3 linked regions of the Schizosaccharomyces pombe genome follow. Changing the gene in region 2 together with the main gene of any one other region gives a genetic interaction. Each region holds a gene or a part of one and is shown on either strand. Other genes may lie near its edges.

Evidence for each region. Genes that interact genetically often act in the same process or in processes that back each other up.
Region 1: mutations in pob3 (region 2) and fft3 together harm fitness more than expected from each alone (negative genetic interaction), as found in Schizosaccharomyces pombe (2 studies listed by BioGRID).
Region 3: mutations in pob3 (region 2) and hta1 together harm fitness more than expected from each alone (negative genetic interaction), as found in Schizosaccharomyces pombe (2 studies listed by BioGRID).

The regions. Positions count from the first base shown.
Region 1 is NC_003424.3:2,096,059-2,103,407, forward strand, and holds fft3 (protein Fft3), read right to left. Parts: upstream 5,748-7,349; 5' UTR 4,992-5,747; coding exon 2,223-4,991; 3' UTR 2,137-2,222; downstream 1-2,136. Other genes in the region: SPOM_SPAC25A8.03C (uncharacterized protein), read right to left, coding at 324-1,727; protein Atg14, read left to right, coding at 6,724-7,349. UniProt on the Schizosaccharomyces pombe protein: DNA helicase that possesses intrinsic ATP-dependent nucleosome-remodeling activity and is required for heterochromatin organization.
Region 2 is NC_003423.3:3,165,878-3,173,315, reverse strand, and holds pob3 (histone H2A-H2B chaperone, FACT complex subunit Pob3), read right to left. Parts: upstream 3,942-7,438; 5' UTR 3,908-3,941; coding exon 3,671-3,907; intron 3,612-3,670; coding exon 2,310-3,611; 3' UTR 1,971-2,309; downstream 1-1,970. Other genes in the region: rpl29 (60S ribosomal protein L29), read right to left, coding at 755-913, 967-993; plasma membrane spermine family transmembrane transporter Caf5, read right to left, coding at 5,041-6,636. UniProt on the Schizosaccharomyces pombe protein: Component of the FACT complex, a general chromatin factor that acts to reorganize nucleosomes. The FACT complex is involved in multiple processes that require DNA as a template such as mRNA elongation, DNA replication and DNA repair.
Region 3 is NC_003421.2:1,409,008-1,414,181, forward strand, and holds hta1 (histone H2A alpha), read right to left. Parts: upstream 3,175-5,174; 5' UTR 2,916-3,174; coding exon 2,517-2,915; 3' UTR 2,137-2,516; downstream 1-2,136. Other genes in the region: SPOM_SPCC622.06C (uncharacterized protein), read right to left, coding at 1-177; SPOM_SPCC622.07 (uncharacterized protein), read left to right, coding at 490-876; histone H2B Htb1, read left to right, coding at 3,477-3,857; exocyst complex subunit Sec5, read right to left, coding at 4,630-5,174. UniProt on the Schizosaccharomyces pombe protein: Core component of nucleosome which plays a central role in DNA double strand break (DSB) repair. Nucleosomes wrap and compact DNA into chromatin, limiting DNA accessibility to the cellular machineries which require DNA as a template.

The DNA.
Region 1 (7,349 bases), on a different chromosome or scaffold from region 2:
AAATCTTTAATAGGAAGATTATAGCAATTCAATCGATGTTCAATACAAAACTGAATACGGCTTGCGTTTGAAGATTGTATAAATTTCCGATATTTAATTATTTATGCAGTTTAAAGCTCGCATTCTCTTTCGAGTTGACACTGGCAATTTCATTATTTAACCTTTTCAACCCTAACTGAATATGATATTCTTTCCAATTTAAAGCTATTTTATTTATAACCAATTTTCAAAAAATAAATAAATAAATAACTAAAGTCAATTCACTAGCCCGCTTAGTGCACCTCTCAAGTTGAACAAAGAATAAGAAAAATAGTACTTGCCATTTAGTAATAATAAGTTGGCATAGACGAGACAACGTAGTAATTGTTGAAGGAATAAGGAACTTTTAGGTTTTTAGATGACGGTTCTACAGGAACGAAAAACTTTCTACCATGTTCATTAGACCATCGCCTTAAGAAATGGGGAAGTGAACAAATGAAGGACCGATTATGAGTAGCAAGCTGAAGTATATCTGAAACTAGATATAAAGGTGTGGGAAACACATATTTGACGGTCTCATTTTGAAACACGTGCCCAATGTTAGAAGACATTTTTTTTGTAGAAAAATCATTTTCCATACTTAAAACAGACGGTGCATTGATTCCAGGCAAGGATTTGTCAACGTGACACACGTCCATCAAAAGCAGACTGTGGTGCGGAAACTGTTTTGACAATCGTTCAAAAAATCTAATGGCTTTCGTAGGATAGTATGTGAGTTTTTGCGTGCTAAAAAAGGACCAAAATACTTGTTTAACACCGGAAAAGTACCGTTTAGCCCTGCTGTCGCTAAACCCTTGCTGAACATTAATCCTAGCTTGTTGAAATGCTAAATGGTAATTCAAAGAGCTAACTTTTTGGTGAGTATTTAGAGTGAAGAATTCGTTTAAAAAGTGCTCTGGACCAAGCCAGCACCGTTCCATCATCATGGCGCCGTTACTCTGACGAAATAAATCATGACCGAAGGAGCTAATTACCTGTAATGCCAATACAAAGCAAGGATTTGTATCAGTATGGTTCCACGTTAATGGATCACTAACATATATATCAATATGATCTCCATGCTTTGCATATCTCACAGATGTCAACATGCTCTTAAACCAGCTTGCTTGCCAAGAATTATGCAAGACTATATTGTATGTAGTACGTCCATAAACTTCAAGGTGATTTTTATAAAGATAATCAAGAATATCCAATGCTATTATTCCAGTCCCAGAATGAAAATCATATATTTTCAAATCAAACACCGGGAAATATCGAAGTTTATACTGCAACACCAAGTAGTTACTAATGGACTCAGAGAATAGAGACCTTTGCTTTTCATAGATGTTTAATGCCTTTTGAGGAATAGGTATTCCATGCAAAAAAGGATCAAATTCTTTGGAACATTTATGCCCTTCTTTCCTTAATACATGTACAGAATGGCTCAAATTATTGGTTGAGCCTGTCCAAAGTCGAGAATAGTAACCCTTGCTGGGATCAAACGTAGATTCATGAATATAATCGGCTAACGAAACCTTAGAATCGCGGTGCAACAAAAATCCATTATCAGTAGTATACCATCTTCTTGGGCCATGCAAAACTAGACCGGTATTTGTAAATGCAAGAGCACTAATTACTCTGCTTCCAAATAATAATGAAGCTTGATAAACTTGAGAGCGACTTAGCTTCCACATATAAAGATTCAGCATTTAACACTCTTTGTAGTATTAAAATTGAACAAAATTCATTATTTATTCGATTACTATTATTCGAAGTTGAGAAATAAAATGTAATAATATGATTTCATAAACTTACTAGGTGAAGTGCTTTCCTCTGTCAACTTTTGTTTTGCAAGTTTTAGAACGACTTTGGATAATAAGAATCGCTTATTTGCTGTATTATCTTCAAAAAAGACTGACCATTTTCACGACGCGTTTTTGGCGTGGTATATAAATGGTGTCAAGAAGCTAAAAGCTTTCATATTAGGTTGAAGAAGTACTGAATTTGTATCATTCAATAAATAGAATTTACTTTTACAAATCAAATCTTTTAATCTGATTTAGTGAAACGGGATCGACTTATAACGTGCAAAACACAAATACAGATAATACAATTGAAAATAAAGAGAAAGGTTTACTCGAATAAAGTAGAAACCTAATCAATTTGACTATTTTAAAACTAATGCATAAAAAACCCTGTATAAACTAATCATCGTCATCTTCAGCCTCCACAGTTTCGGCATTGCCGGAAAGAGTCGCATCCAAAGCAATTTTAGCGTTGGCTAAACGTTGAATGTGCTCTTCGATGGTATCCTTGACAACAAATTTATAAACTGTAACTTCTTTCTTTTGGCCAACTCTATGTGCTCTATCTTCCGCCTGAAGGTCATCGAATGGATTGAAAGAGACATCATAAAGAATAACCATATTAGCACACGCAAGATTGATACCAAAACCGCCGGCTTTGGTAGAAAGAAGAAATACATTAATGCTTTCATCAGCATAAAATTGATCGATGAGATCCTGGCGGAAATCGACTTGTGTAGAACCATCAAATCTTAAAAACTTTAGATTTAATGATTTCATGACAAGTTGAAGAATGTCCAAAACCTGTGTAAACTGACTAAATAATACAACTCTGTCGCCATTTTCAACAGCATTAGTGAGCAGTTTTTTAAGTTTTCTGACCTTTGTGGCGTCCATCCAAGGTTCATCTTTAAGTTGGAATGAATTGATAGACGGAAATTTGCAACACAAATTATGTAGCTCAATATCTGACATGTACTGCATGTCTTCAAATATATAAAGTTCGTTTGCCTTTTTGTATTGGGGTTCATTCATAATAGCTTTCGCCATTTGTCGAAGGATATCATCTTTATAATGAATTCGAAACAACATAGGGTGATCCGCAAGCTTACGAAGCTGTACAAGCACAAAACCAGCTGTGCTTTTCTTCTTTGCAAGATTTGCATTCGTATCTAAATTAGTTTTCATGACATTTTCATCCAATAAAGAATTTACACTTTGTTTGCTAGCGAAGTCATCATAACGGCGACGTTCCTCTTCGGAAAATTCGCAAAATTCTATAATACGCGTTTTCTTCGGCAAAGCATCTAACACCTGGCTCTTTTTACGGCGAAGGACAAATGGGGCCATCATCATTTTGGCTCTCGATACTCGCTGTTCTGAAAGCAATGCTCGTTCAAAGTCGCTTTCTGGGGATTTTTTCATAGTAAAAATGACATCTAAACTTTTCAAACCATAATCAAATACATGAGGAAGAATGAACGCTAAAAGCGAAATTAATTCTTTAAGATTATTCTGTAGCGGTGTACCAGTTAGCAAAACTCGAAAGTCGGCAGGAATACTCATCAAATGACGATATCTCTCAGACGCACGGTTTTTCAAGTAATGACCTTCGTCATATACACAAACATTGAACTTTTGGTTGCGCAAAAACAAACGATCAGCCTTACTAGTAGCGGCTAAACGGTAGGTGGTTAACATAACGTTATAAGAATCTTTATTAGAGTTGATACGTTCACGAATTTCTTCACGTTCGACTTGCGATCCATAATAAAGTTCAATTTTTAGCTTGGGACAGAACTTGGCAAATTCACGTAACCAATTCTCCATCGTTGAAGCAGGTGCAATTACCAAATGTGGCCCGTTAATATTTTTATCCATGAGTAATGAGAAAAAAGCGATGGTTTGACAAGTTTTACCGAGCCCCATTTCATCAGCCAGGATACCAGCCAGTTTGAGCTCGTACAAAAGGTAAAGCCAATTAATCCCAATGATCTGATAATCCTGTAGTTTGATATCGGGCGAAAAAGATGCAGGAGGTGTAGTGATAAACGAGGAATTTGCAGGCGTACCGAAACTTTTCATTTGATCAAAGTTGACAAGAGAAGTTTCACCTTCATCAGATGTAGCAGTGTTTGACAAGCCCCACGCTTCAATGCCGCGCTGAATTTTACCACCTAGCTGCTCACACTGACGAATAAGCGCATCCACTACGAAATAACCACGCATAATTTCCATACATATACCAACTAAACGTGGTCCAAGAGGAGTTTTTTCACGTCTACCTCGTCTACCTTTGGGAATCACCGGACGAGGTTGCTTAACGACCAAAGCAGATTCAAGATCTGGAAAAGGTCTTTTGGCAACCATAAATTCAGCTTCAGCAAGCGTACAACCTGTCATGTCAGCCAAATCCTGTGTTGAACAACGATTCATATATTTAAGAACTTCCTCCTTTAGAGCAGCAGTATCTATACGAGATGCCCAGCGATCTGCATTTGAATCATCATCAGAGTACATATCATCATTGCTGTCATCGTCAGCTTCAGGCTCATAAGTCTTTCGAGATGACAATGGCAAGGTAAATTGAAGTCCGTTAGTAAGATTATTAGCAGCATATCGTTCTCTCATTGTAAGACGATGTGGGGCTGGCTTTTGATTTGTAACCTGTGAACTCAGTGATTGAGACGATAATGAAAGAGGTAAAGAATCGCTTGCTTCTTCGTCATCCATGTAAGAGGGCATTTTGGGCTCTGTCTCAGAGAATTGAGATAAAGCATTGTAAACAGCGCCGTATGGATTTTGGGCATCCATAAATTGCGAAGGAGTGCCAGCAGAAGGTGTAGGAACAAGATTTTCTAACGAACCGGAATAATTATATGGTTGATTTATGGAGTTAGCAGAGGAAGTAAATGAGGGAGAAATATCACTCAACTGCTTGAAATGTTCTAAACTTGAAATGGGTGCAGTAGCCTGAACTCGTTTAGACATCTCTGAAAGAATCTGAAGTCGCGAATTCATACCACCCCCCATAACATTAGCTTTTTCGGTAGCTTCTGAAAGCGAATCAGCAATGAAAGGGGGGAAAATTGGCTTGCGCTTCACGTTGGAAGTCGCGTCGTAATGCGTGCCATCAGCGGTATGCTCTATTTTTCTTTTTCCATCCATAATTAAGTAACAATCAATGTATCCAAGCAAATGGCAAAAGAAAATTGAATCTAAAATATAGGATTTGGAGAAAAAATATGTAAGGTCACGTGTATATTATGAATAATTTTATCACACGAATTAAGAGCGCCGAGAATAGATGCAAAAAGATTGAAACTTTTTAAATTCTCCTAAGATTAATTAAAATGGAAGAAATAACGACAAAACAATACAGATTTCTTGTTTCACGCGTTTCTTGGTAACTCAAATAGTTGAAAACTTAATATGGGAACAGCAGATTACAAAAAATTTTGAGGGCCAAAACTTATTGCAATTTCTAAAACAAGAAACAATTCCTTTAGTTACGAGATGTGTATGAGTTAATTAGGATAGACCACCTTCTTCTAATACATAAGCGTTGTTTCGAGATGATATGCAGAATTTAATGAAGAAAAATAAAATGTAAATGAAAAGTAGACAAAAAAATTTTAAAATATAAATTTAAAATTTTCCTGATGTTTAAGATGAAGCAAACTTGGTAAGCTCTAGCAATAAACAAATACTCGCAATTAAAGATCACCAAAAACGACTTATACTTTGGCTATCCAAAAACAATCTTTGTTTAAAAAAAGAAAAAGAAAATTACCAAAATTAAAATAATAACACTCAATGAATCGGATTGTTAAAGAAAAAGACTCCAGTCACCCAATACCTTCTTTTGTATTATGGAATTATTCGGTATAATTCAAGAGCACACTATGCTGGTAGTTTGTTCTTGATGTGGCACGGGGGCGTGATATGGTGGTAGTGGTCCCAAATACTGATGCTAAATAATGCCTTAAACGTTGTAACGTAGTTTATGGTAAAGCTATATCATGATGGCAACTTGCTCTTTATATTACTAAACATTTAGCAAAAGATACCGTGGCGAAATTGTCTTTATTCTTTTATAGTTTTAATAAAATCATTAAACATAACTGCAGATACTAGAGATCTTTTGTCACTGAACCTTAAGAAATATGACAACAAATAGTGTTTCGTTATATTATGGCAGCGTACCACGTTATGTTTTCTAGGTGATACTGCAAAAGCTAATGTTAAAAGAGGATGGTTTGGGTTCTAGGATTATATTATTTAGTTAATATTTTATTAACCTATTTATTTAGATAAAATAGTTTTGTAAAACACCTTGCTCATCACTCAAAGTTATTTAGCAAAAATTTGAGTGTCGAGTAACAGGCTACTTTAAGGAAATATTTTTAAACGCTTTATAAAGTAACTATTTGCATACGATTGTAGTAATCAATACGAACATCAACTGCTAAGTAGCTACTTCGGGGATTTGAAGAAATAGAAGTCCATCTACTCATTGCATTGAATTCGTATAATATAATTTTTTCTTAATATTTGTCGTTTTTTCTGTCAAAAATATCGCATTGGTTGTTCAATTCTGCAAGAACAGCCAGGAATGCAGTTTCACTTTTAAATTAATATTTTTGAATTTGTCCGTTAGGAGGCCCTTCGTTTCTAAGAATAATTGTTTAAAAACCTGCGCTGTTTATTTTTTTTCCCTTTTTCTTCTTTGTTTTTGCTTCATTATTTTAACAACACCTATATTGTATACAAGTTGACAGTTAACGTAGTAGGAAATTAATATCCTGCTGGGTTTTTAAGTTTTCTTATTGCTGTGCTATAATTGAAATTTGCGTACCACTTGAAGGCATTGTTGGATCTAAACTGAAGGTGTGTTTGTATGCTGCATGTCAATAAATGCCAATTATGCGAAACAAGACGTCCTTCTATTTGCGAAAGCTGTTTAAAAAAGCAGCTTTATGATTTTTATCATAAACGTGATGAATTCTCTCGAGATATTGAGTCAGAGCTTGAAAAGGTTGCTAAATTGAAATCAGAAAGTTTCTCTCTAAAAGGAAAGATTACCCAAAAAGAGGAATTAACTTATCGACTACAGAACCTTGCTGCCTCTCTAAACGAAAAGAAATCGTTATCGTGTGACTTGCATTCCCGCAAACAGCTTATAGAAGATGACTTGTCTAATCGCAAAAAATCAATTAATATCGCGAGTCAAAAGTTAGCTGGCTTATCACATTCAACGAGTGACTATTTCTCTAAGGAATACCTTACAGCTTATCGCCGTTCTGAGCTACTTCAAAATAAATTGCATGAGTATCAAAAGAAGCTGATAACAAGGGTTTTGGATATGTATCAACTTCACTGGCAAAGGGATTTAGTGCTTAACACTCAGGGTTGCACTCAAAAATCTGCTCAAATGGGATCAGAGTTTAACCCTGACTCCATAGATTCATCTCTTGCGTATAGACTTTCAAAATTATCAATGGGCAATTCGAAATCCGACTTATC
Region 2 (7,438 bases):
TTTGCTATCGGTGGAATCCTTTATAATGACCATTGACAATTTTGTTTAAAGGTCTTTCATTTCAATTATGTATACTGGTCTCACGTTGGAAAATAATTTGCCTATTTAGTTATTGTTTATACTACTATGCAATCAAATTTCCTTTTCAGTGATGCTATTTTATGGTAGTTCACACGTTTATATACAGTAGGCTTATACAATGTTTCGGCATTCCTTGGGATTTGATAATATAAAGCCACCGTTTAATCGTAAGAGAGAGTAAGGTGCTTATTATCATTACAGCTATTTACCGGCGAGTTAGCAGAGTACTCACTAACAAGTCTATGAACACAATAATAATATTAAGAAATTCAGATTTATACTGCTGCTAAGGTACTATCAATTAATAGAAAATTTGTACCACCCAATTCTTGACTAAATTCGGTGAAGATTAGCCGAAAGTTAGCCAATATGTATAAGGGCGAATCATCAGTCTAGCACGAAAAACAAGTTCAACCGCAATTAATCTCACGGGTAATTTTGTTAAAAAGTGCAATGATACAATTTACTTTAGATTAACAGAACGTCACAGCTATTCATATACATCCAGTAAGAGCTTACTCTACGCATTCGCTTTAAATTTAACCGGCAGACTACCTTTATTTTTAGAAGCACAAATCAAACGAGATTCTCATTTTAGAAATCCAAAATTTTTAAAACGTTGAATTATGCCATTTATGTAGAAACCAAACTAAGACAACTAATTCCAAGCATTTTAAGCAGAGGCCTTAGCTTGACGAATAGCTTCGACGGTACCACGGTTGGCAAACTTTTGGTTGCGGCGGAACTTAGCATCACGGTACTTAAGAGAATCGTAACGGTGCTTTTGAGGACGCTTAATACCGTTACGGTGAGCCTTCTTGTTTTGGTTGTGCTAAGCTCAGTTAGTATTAACATTCATTCAACAATCTACAAAGACAAACTCACATTAGTATGATTCTTCGACTTGGCCATTTTGGTTCCTGGATAGGTGAAAGAGGATTATGCAAAGCAAAATATTGTTTCAAAAAAAGCAGTCACGTTTACAAGTTTCTGTAGCGTAGTTTACTAAAGCGAATACCGATATCGTCGGTATTACATTAAATTATGAATGATAACTTCGGCGAGTTCCCATTGCATTGGTGCTGTGTGTATGCATAATTGCTAAATAATCGTGTAGTTGAAATGTTTTTGAGCACTTTTGTGTAAAACATAACGATGAAGGAAAGTGAAGTACTGGAATGTTAATAAAATAAAATGGTAATAAATAAAAAAATGATCAAATAAACGCTTACTCTGTAATTTATGTTGTATTCCAAGTTATAAATTAAAACAACTAACAAGCTATCGTAGCAATTACAGGATAACGCAAAACATGATCTATGTTTATGACTAGTACTTCAATTTGTTTGATGCTCGGCGCGGAAAAATGAAAGCTCGATGCATTGATTTTAAAAATATTGGTAGATTCTTAAAACCACAATCATAGTTTTTTTTTTTTTTTTTTTTCGTTTCGTCTGATCAATGTGCAAAGTATGCACTTTCTTCTATTTTTACTACACATTTCAACATCCAAACAATTTTGCACTATAATAATTATAACACAGTTGTATTGTTGTCAGCCATACCTAGGCGAAAACACCGGTTCCCGTCTGCAGCTAAGCGTCTGATGGCTTTGTTAGTACCATCGTAGGAGACAATATGGGAATCCCGGGTGCTGTAGGCTATTTTTCTCATTATTGCATACTAATGTTAAATAACGGTGTCGTAAACGTTTTGGCTATGCATCCATAGGTACTGTAGTTAATATTCTAAATAAAAGACATCATTCAAAAGTCCATGTACTGATGATATCTACAAATAATCTCATAAGTATAAATAAATAATACACTTTTAAACGATTGTCTTAATATATTACGAGATGATTTTGTGAAAGACGTTTATGCTACTTTGAAATGGATATCTCAGGATTTTCTCAAAATAGAAAGGTCATAGCAATGTATAAAGGAAAACATGCGAGTCATTAGGCGTCTTGTGACCTTGGAATAATTTTGCCTAGTCAAAATTGTGGAACAGTATATATTTTGACCGGTAAGTGTTATTTTTTCTAAAAGGATTTTACCACTCGGATTCATCGATAGAAGTTTCCTTATGTGACATAAAAATGCACAAGAGTGCCAACTTTGAGGATTCCGAAGAATTAAAATAAAAAATTTGTAATAGCAAAAGACAAGGCTGAAAAGTTGATCCAAATAGACTTCCAATTTAACATTGCTCAATTTTATAGATCATTACTCCGAACCCTCAGCACCAGAAGCACCTTCTTCATCAGAAGATTCTGCATTTTCATCATATTCTTCAGCAACATCGCTTTCACTTTCAGCTTGAAAATCTTCGTCTTCTGATAGTGCTTCTTCCATTTCCTCATCCCCTTCCTCATCTTCATCGTCCAAGGCAGATGTAAGCAATGTTTGCTGTGTTTCATCCGCTAAGTCATTATGAATCTTAATTTGTTTTGATTCTAAAAAGGCAACCAAAGCGCTCTGTTCAACTCTATTTATGTTCGAAAACTGATAAGACGTACCAGAGCGAAGGGTAAAAGTAAGATCAAATGTACGGGCAGCGGATACAGACATGCCAACACGTGAAAGTGTTACACGAGTAATATCGGATGTATTCATGAGAAGCGTAGGTTTAGGAATGAAGAGAAATGATTTATCTAAGCAATATAATTGGCCTTCATTCGCCTTATAAGAACACTTGACTGCAGCGTGACCCTCATGACTAAGAAATTCTGCTGGTGTTGTAACTTTTCGGCCAGTCAAGCCCCTAAAGATTTGACTTACAACTTCAAAAGCAGGTTGATCATAGCTGGCTTTTACCTTATCAGCGTATTTTTCTTTTAAGACTGTCTCTTCAATGTTTAAATCCACTTCCATATCTTCATCACGAACAAACTGAGTAACTAGGAATGGATAGCGTGTTTGTCCCTGCCTAAGAGGAGGTTCCAATCCAATGACAAACACCACATGTTGCTCATCGGGTTTTGGGAGTAAAAATAGACTATTGATGGAGCTGTACTCAACCTTGTAATCATATGTTTTGCCACGAAGTCGCATACAAGTTTCATACATATCTATATCGTAACGTCCACGTGGTGTAAGCAAAAGAATTTCAGAAAATGATACAATTGCATCTCCAGCTGCTTGCCCAATATCTGCTCTTTCTTTTAGGGATTCATAAAATAAATTTGCAGCGTTCTGTTCTACTTCTTCACCGTCAGCGGCATCTTCCTTTGCGGTTGTCCCGGGCACATACAAACGCATCTCAACAAGCTCATCAACTTGAGCAGAAGGAATTTGCTTATCGTCTGTTGTAGAGAATTCCAAAGCCACCTCATTTTTTCCCGAAAGATTAGTATTCGTGACAGCTGAAATAGGAATCTCAAAGGCTGGCCGAGAATTGACATCAAACACAAGTTCTGAGCCTAAAAAATTAGCTTCTCCCCAATTCCATCCCTTAATGGAAAATTCTTTTTGCTCAATTCCCATGTCAAAATTTTGTTTAATAACATTGATCAAATCATCGAGGTCCTGAGCATGTTTAATTAGTATAATCTTCAAAAACAAAACACTTAGTTAAAAAAATTTACCTCCTGTGAAAATCCGTCAAGACTGACTGGATCTTTGCTTTTCAAAATGATTTTCAACTCATATCCACGCGCAAAGCGACTCCAACAAAAACGTCTAATCTCACTTATAGGTAATGTGAATGGTTCTGCTAAGCTAGGTGACTTCCAACCAAGACCACTCGGGGCTATACGAAGTTTTCCCGGTTTTTCACTTAGATTTAAATAAATATTGTCATACTGAACCGTTTTGGCCGCCATTTTTTATAACTGGTGAAGTATTAAGTATTTGGTCAGAAAACAGCTATACCAGGTTATTCTCAAATTCACACATTAACACATTTGTTCGTTTGCGTTAAAACCTAACAACGTTTATTAACGTATTAACATTATAACATCAGTTACGCAGTTTGGCATCTGTTTTAAACGATACGATAAACTGCGGTGAGTTTTCCTTGTGACCTATTATATTGCAATACACAGATAATATAAGTAGCGATCGAGTATAGGTATTATACTATTTAAGTTGTGTCATTAATATAGCTTATAACTAAACTGAGGAACGAGGTTCAGCTATAGATCTATTTTTAGTATTTAGATAATATAGATAGAAATAGACAATCAATAAAATCAATCTCAATATCATATCATATATAGTACGATGAATAATTAGGACATGTGACATACATATTAGCGTAGTGTAGTATTCTTTACATATAAATATGTATTTTGAAACGCACTACAAATCACTATTCAATGAATGTTTAATTTGAACGGCGTCCCGAGTCAGAAAATACAAACAATTCAATTAGCACTGTAACTCTGCTTAAACTTGATTTTTACTTATTGTAATTATAATACACTTATTTATTCTCATTAATAATATGTGTTGCATCCGCAAATAAATTACACCCATTTACTTTCATGAATTTAAAATAGTGGGTTCAATTGTACTCTTTACATCTGCGTGCTTTTTGAATTGCTCAATGGGCTTAAAATAATAAAGCTACAGTTCAATTGGGCTTTAAAGCGCAAGAATAAATACAATACAACCACAACTTCATTCGTTTATTGGCCTTGTAGTACCTTTTCTGTTTTATAAAAAAAATAAATTTAAGATTGAACGTGAATTTTGTATACCAAATTTTATTTAAATAGACAATTACAAGTTCAAGTCTAGAAACGTTCTAAACTGATAGATAATATAATATCAATCAATACCTCAATTAGCGACACAAAATAACACCATTAAATTTCATAAAACTCTATAAAAATTGAAAGAGAAGTGTCCATTACACTTATCTTTGAACAAGGGAGTATAGCCTTCATCATATACATCTTGATAACGCGCGGACAAATCCGGAAATAATTAAATGATCTCAACAACAGTGGAATTAAGAAGCATATTTTGAACGGCTTCTCAGTTTCAGACCCCATTTATGTAGCACGAAAGGAATAGGAATCATTAAGCAAGCAACTATACCAAGGATAGTACTTCCCCAGGCAACTGGAGCATAGGAAGGGCCTGTATTATTAAACATAGCTCGGGCAAACAATGGGAATGATGCAGCCATAGCCGAACGAAATAGGTCGTTTCCAGCAAACACAGATGCAACGTACTTTGGGTATGAAGCAGCCAAATACTGAAACATACTTTGAAACATTAAAAAGGCCCCAGATGCGTAAAAGAGCGTACTGACGATTGGTACAATCCAATGGACCGATTCTCTTCCCGACCAGCCAAACCAGAAAAGGCAAATGGGAATAAAGAACGTTGCTGGAAATGAAATGACCAAAACTCCTTCCGGAGCAAAATCACCACCACTGGCCATGAATGCTGGGATCATCACTTTATACAGGAATACGAAATAGCAGGCTAAAGTAATCAAGGCACCCACGAGAATACCTAAGTAAACCAAGCCATTTTCAATAATGGTAAAATGGTAAACGCTAGTAAAAAGGATTGGGAAAGCTTCGAACCACAGATATAAAATTGAATAGATTAGCCCAATATATATATTTAAAGACAATACTATCGGCTCCGAAATACTTAGTATTATCGGACGAATTATGGTTTCCTTTGCAAGCTGAGCAACACTTAAATGGGAAGATGCCAATTCGGCCTCTGTTCTATAATTTTCGTTTCCAGTTATCTTACGGAACCTCTTTGCCCTCTTATATAATATATGCCATTCAGAAGTCTCTGGCATAAAAAAGAAGATAACAATCAATGCAAAGCCAGAAATCATCATCAAAAGCCAAAATTGCCATCTCCAAGATTCAGCAACGACCATCGCTCCACCAAGCAACGGTCCCAAAACTGGACCACCGATGGCTCCAATTGCCCAAAAACACATAAAGTAGGGAAGAAGCCATGGTTGCCAAATATCTGCCAAAGTAGCACCTCCAGTCGCTAGAGCTGGCGAGCCGAAGAAACCGGCCAAAAACCTCATTGGTAATAAGACGCCCAAGCTAGATCCCAGTGCGGTGGGAATCTGTAAACACACAAATACAAGGAGAGAAAGAACATAAATCTTTTGGCGACCAACTTGTGGAATCTCCGAGAGTGGAGACAAAATTAGGGGACCGATGGCATAGCCAAGTACAAAAAGAGTCAATCCCAAAACTACGGGAACAGTTCCTACGTGCATCGTTTCTTGCATTTCTGATATACCTGGAGTAAAAATTGCTGATCCCACATAAACCGCAAACGTTAAGAAGCAAATATCAAAAGTCACCACAAGCTTTGCCCACAAAGGCCAATTTAGGGGATTTTCGGGATCGTTGGCATCATCCCATCGCACAATAATGTGTCCCTCTGAATTAACTTCATGAATCTTCAGATCGCCGGATTCCGAGCTGCATGAGTCATTGGAATCTACTTTGCTAATGTCTTTCCATACTCTCAGTTTCTCTAAGTCGTTGTCATTGGAGTTGTGAGAAACGTATTCGACCAATTCGCCGAAAACGGTTTCCCTTAAAAATCCCATTTAAATGACCGTATGTAAAAACCAAAGTTAGTTCTATTTTTTGGTCTCGGTTAACTTTATTAAAAACTTGACAGATTATTTGCCCACACTTGCTGGTACAATTGTCTGGCTACATTCTTCTCCTAATATACCCTTCGTGCCTTACCTAATCAACGTGAATGTTTACTAAGTGTAAAGTAAGCATATATTGATTGATTAGTCAATTATGTGAGATTCCTTCTTTCAATTATCCATCGTATTCTAAGTCGTTTCAGTAAGCAGTATTAAAAGTGCAAAATCATCTTGTTGCTTATGTAAACAAAAAAAAAATTAAGATTGGAAGTTACAACAAACATTTCTAACGTACATCAGTCGATCGTCATCTCGCGTAAAAAATTCTGCCTTAATTTTTGTCAGCAAAAGAAAGCGAAATTAAAAAGTAAAAACAGAACTATATGACTAATCAAAACTAAGTATGAATTAATTCTTTTCAGAGTAATGCGAATACAACAGTTACTTAAAAAAATGATGTCGTTAAAAACAATTTTAACTTCAAACTATGATTAAGTAGGTAGACGATCGACGGAAGACAGAAAATAAGAGGGATTGCTATGCTTGCCGTTTTCCTTTGAAGACGATGTTTCAAGAAAATTAAAATTTAATATTTTACTTTTAAAGAAAAGCTTATATAAAAAATGACTATTAAACATCTGCAGTCATACGCACTTAATATTTGTCCAAATGAATATGCCGAAATTGTCTTGCTTTTAACTACTTCGCTTAAATTCCCAACTTTATCCCAAAAAGTAAAATCATATAGTTA
Region 3 (5,174 bases), on a different chromosome or scaffold from region 2:
GATCATTCGACTTATAACAAAAGAGAAAATAAATAAAGTAATAATAATTGGTAAAATACCATCATTACTCCGATATTTAATAGCTTCATATGTTTTTTTATTAATTAACTCTTCATATGCTTCGTCCTGAAGCAGCGACTGGAATTCTTGCAACTCGATGGATTCCTTTGGGCTCATATCTTTCGTCTAACAAAACGCAGTTAATTGAACACTTTTAAATCACGAAATTTGAAAATATAAGAAAAATGGATTTTTCAGTAGCTGAAAACTTAATTTAATTGAATTTCATTATTTGTGGTTAATAGATTGTGCACGCAGTAGTTAGCAGGGGTTTGAAGAGAAGTTAGCCTTTTCAATCTCACTGTTCGGGAAAGGCATTTCATTTTCCTATGTCTATTGTTGACTCAAGATTGGTAAATGTTTACAATTAAGAATAAAGTTTAATTTCCAATAGCTGAATTTGCATCTTTCTTTCTCTTTCGTTTCGATATGGCGTCCTTGGACATTCATTTATATGTGAAGAAGGATTTAACCTACGGAGAGTGTGTAAGGGTCGCAAAAGAAAAGTATAAGATAATTCACCGGCTTCTATATATTTCTATTATTTTCCTTTTCCTCAATTACGTTGTCGACATTGTGTGTTATGTAAAAAATTACAATGGTTTTTCTTTTTTTTGTTGGGTTTTTTTGAATCTTGGCGTTATAGGTATAATAATAACGGTGATTATCTATTATATTTCTATTCCTAAACCAGATGCTGAGTCTGAGTTTTTAAACAAACCAGACTCATTGAACCAGAACGTTGGTGAAAGTCAATCTAATGAACCTCCAAAGTACACTTCAACCTTTATGGATGAGCTTGATAAACAGGATTAAAGGAGTACAAAAATGGTTAGTCAATTGATCTGAAGCGCAATGATCAACCTTTGGTAAAGCCAAATCCTTTTACTGTTGAAGTTTATCGCTAAATTTTTGCTAGACTTAACAAACTTCAATTCTTCGTACCTTTTTACTAATATATTTAATTCATTTTAAAAATAATTCAAACACTTTTGTTTAACGGAATCAACGGCATCGTCAGCTGGTTGTATCGGTAGTGTCAAATAGTTTTCCTATGTTTGTAATGAAATTTTTTGTTTTTTAATTCTGTACTTCTGTAACAATTGTAATTGTTCTATGGCTATTTTTTTCCCGTATAATAATCTGAAATTTTTGCCAGAATATATTCTCAATATTTTGGAATTTTTTTACTATTTTACAATCCAACAAACTCGAATTTTACGATAAATGCTTTTCTAAGAGCCATGCAAAAATTTTATTATAATGTTTTAATATTTTTTGATATAATATAAAAATAATAAACTGCAATGGCTATTTATTGACTGATATTAGTATTATAATTTTCATACAACTATAAAAATACATTGGCAAAAAAGAAAAAATATTGAAAAATCCTAAATAGATACGATGAAATCGATTTCTAACAAAAATTAAAATTAAAATAAAAAACTAAGAAAAAAAAAAAAAATCAAACAGTTACATAAGAACCTAGCTATTTTTTTCCAAACTCCTTCCTATTTATTGTATTCTTTTCAAACATATAAAGAGACGTACAGCAATCACTATCCATAAATAACGATAAAAGCAGCATTATGGGTAAATGAATTTGTGAAATTCACCAACTTGCCAAAAATTGCTTACATATTCTCGTTAACTGGCTTTACCGGTTCCGGGTACAATTCATTAACCAATCGGTTGGACGTAATGACTAAATAGCCCATAAGAAATATAGACAGAAAAAAAGGGAAAATAAACGTGAAAATTACCAAATCTAAGCATTCTCAATTTATGAAATGCTTGGTCTTTTAGTTGGAATTGTGCTGTACTGGTGCGACCGAGCTTCGAAATCGGCGAAGGAAAAAACTCAAAAGAAGCAAACGTCTACCGTTTCACGAAAGAAGAGTAAAAAAACTGCATCGAAAAAAAATTCTGGAAATTCAAAAGCATTAATTGTAAAAAAAAATTAAGTACTATTCTTTTGCATGTACTGCTCGATTCAATGTTTAATGACACTCCTTTCATCAATCTGTTCATCTCCACTCTACAATCTATTTATTCATTTGATACATACTCTCATATAGGATTTTGAAAAATATACTCATTACTATACAATATTATAATTAAGGGAGAATAAAAAAGAAATAAAAAAAACCAAAGGAGCCAGTTCAAGTAGGAATTACTTGTGCAAAAGCCCTTCAAGTACTAGTAAAAGTAACTAGTAGAGAATGACTTGGCTGCATCTAAAACATCCTTAAAGTTCAGGCATAACGAAAACAATAACAGCAAAGAAAAAGAAAGACGCAAAAAGTTCAAAAGGAAAAAGAACCAAACATGGTTTAGAAGCGAGAAACAACCAAAAAAAGTATTGCGGGGTTGTAAAAAAAGAAAGGTCCTTTACAACTTTTCAATGTCTTTCCCTTCATCCTCTTTCAAAATGTTTTACTTGACGACTGACTTTACAGCTCCTGACTAGGCTTTCCAGTGCGACCAGAAGTTTTGGGCAAAAGATGGGCGTTGATGTTGGGAACAACACCACCTTGAGCAATGGTAACGTGACCAAGAAGTTTGTTCAACTCTTCATCGTTACGGATGGCGAGTTGAAGATGACGGGGAATGATACGAGTCTTCTTGTTGTCACGAGCAGCGTTTCCAGCCAATTCGAGAATTTCAGCAGCCAAATATTCCAAAACGGCGGCCAAGTAAACGGGAGCACCAGCACCAACACGTTGAGCATAGTTACCCTTACGTAACAAACGATGGACACGACCAACGGGGAAAGCCAAACCGGCCTTGGCAGAACGGGATTGAGCAGATTTGGCAACAGCAGCCTTACCACCAGATTTACCTCCAGACATGACGAAAAATACTGAAACTAAATAAAAAAAATAAAAGTTTGAGTTAAAAAAAAAAGATTTTTCCTTCTTTAATGAAAAAAGATAACAGTCAACGATGAAGCAGCGAATGGATCAAATTTGGTGAAATTAACAGAATTTTCTCGCAATTTCAGCCTTTACGGACAATCAATCTCCTTATCAACTAAGGATCAATTGTTTATATCAATTTCAATACGTGTATGGATCAAAAGGTATCCTAAACAACGAAAAGTCGCGATATAGGGAAAAGGAGACATAGGAGCGCGCACCCTTCATATATATACTAATTCTAATCTTCCGTATAAGCACGTCTAACGCGTTCTTGTAGATGACGTTTCCGCGTCGCATGGCTAAACACCAGGGTTAGGGTTGTGATGCCCAAGTTGTATATAACCATCGCGTCGCCTGCAGGCATGTTAGTTAATACCAACAACTTGATATTGCACGAAAGTTTAGGATTATCAAATTCCTACAATTGCAATTACTTAGTTCAGTCCATCAATTTTGAGATTCTCTCGACAACCAATTTTTAAATCGTAAAAAATGTCTGCTGCTGAAAAGAAACCCGCTTCCAAGGCTCCCGCCGGTAAGGCTCCTAGGGATACCATGAAGTCTGCTGATAAGAAGCGTGGTAAAAACAGAAAGGAAACTTATTCATCCTATATTTACAAGGTGTTGAAGCAAGTTCACCCTGATACTGGTATTTCCAACCAAGCCATGCGTATCTTGAACTCTTTCGTCAACGATATTTTTGAGCGTATTGCCACTGAGGCTTCCAAGCTTGCTGCTTACAACAAGAAGTCCACTATTTCTTCCCGTGAAATCCAGACTGCTGTTCGTTTGATTCTTCCCGGTGAGTTAGCCAAGCACGCCGTTACCGAAGGTACCAAATCCGTCACCAAGTATTCTTCTTCTGCTCAGTAAGCGAATCGCACGATTGTGCAATCGTCTTTTAGTCAGCTGATGAGTTTCCACAGCCTTCCATTTCGACAATGACAACCTCACGAAACAAAAGGGGGTAGGTTATTTGCTCTTTTGGAAATATATATTTTCCTCCTCCCTTTTTTAACGTTTTCGTTCCCTCCTCTTTTCCATTTCCGCCTTTTGTATCGCATTCCTATTTTATTCCCCGTACAATGACGACAACAACAACACAGGTGCAGCACATCACGCGATAGTTTTTTTTACATTACACATGGTTCTTCATTTCTATGACCGGTTCGTGGAGTTGAAAGGTGTTTTGTTTTGCACAAGTCGTACTGGATCAAATTGGGTTTTGTGTTCGATTCGACGGGGACGAGATGCTTTTTCTTCCCTTGGTTAATCTTCTTCCCTTGTGCATTTTATAGCTATCACCACTGGTTGGAGAGTTGAGTTTCTTTTTTTTCGACTGTTTGTTCCTTTCCGCCATGTATGGAAATAATTTGTGTCATTGGCACTCATACAGACACTTCTCACACTCCATTTCCCGTTCCACTCCTGGGCATCTTGGTTTATTAATGGATTTATTATTATTATTATTGTTTATGTTGGTGATTTAGATTGATGGTGAATGGAATATTATTATTCACATTCAAAATATCCCAAAGAATCCAGTGTGCGAAGTTGATGTGGTTTGGTATGTTTGCTATGCAAATGATTTTATATATGTTTGGAAAGATTGTAAAGTAATTCTACTATTAATAATAATATAATATTATGAAAAGATCATTTCAATAAACTGAAACTTGAGTCGTGTTTTCGTAGCTGTTTCCGTAGTCGGACTTATGGAGCTGGCTTCTGCCTTTCTTTGGATTTGTTGTAGCAAGTCGAGTATGGTAGGTGGAAGGCATTTATTTAAGAAATGCGAAATACTAGGAATGTCGTGGAAAAAGGCATATGGTGAGTGTAAAGCAAACTGAGCGAGCATACAAGACGTTGTGGCTATCATCCAATCTGCCGCTTCATTAGGAGGCATGGAGTCTTTTAATTCTAAGTATATGGTTTCTAGAGTGGAAAACAATTGGAAGGTCGGTGGTTGAATGCTCAACTTGGATATGGAAGAGGGTGTGGTATTGGAAAAACTGGTATCCCGTATGGCCAACAATTTATAAAGATCTTGCAAGTTTCGAAGAGATTTTGAAATTCTCGGATCGAGGGAGGGAGAAACCTCGTTAAGAGGAAATGTCTGTAAGAGAAACTTTTGGTAAGGTACCAAACGTGAACGCAAGTTTAACAGTCGAGTTACGAAGTGTAAAACAT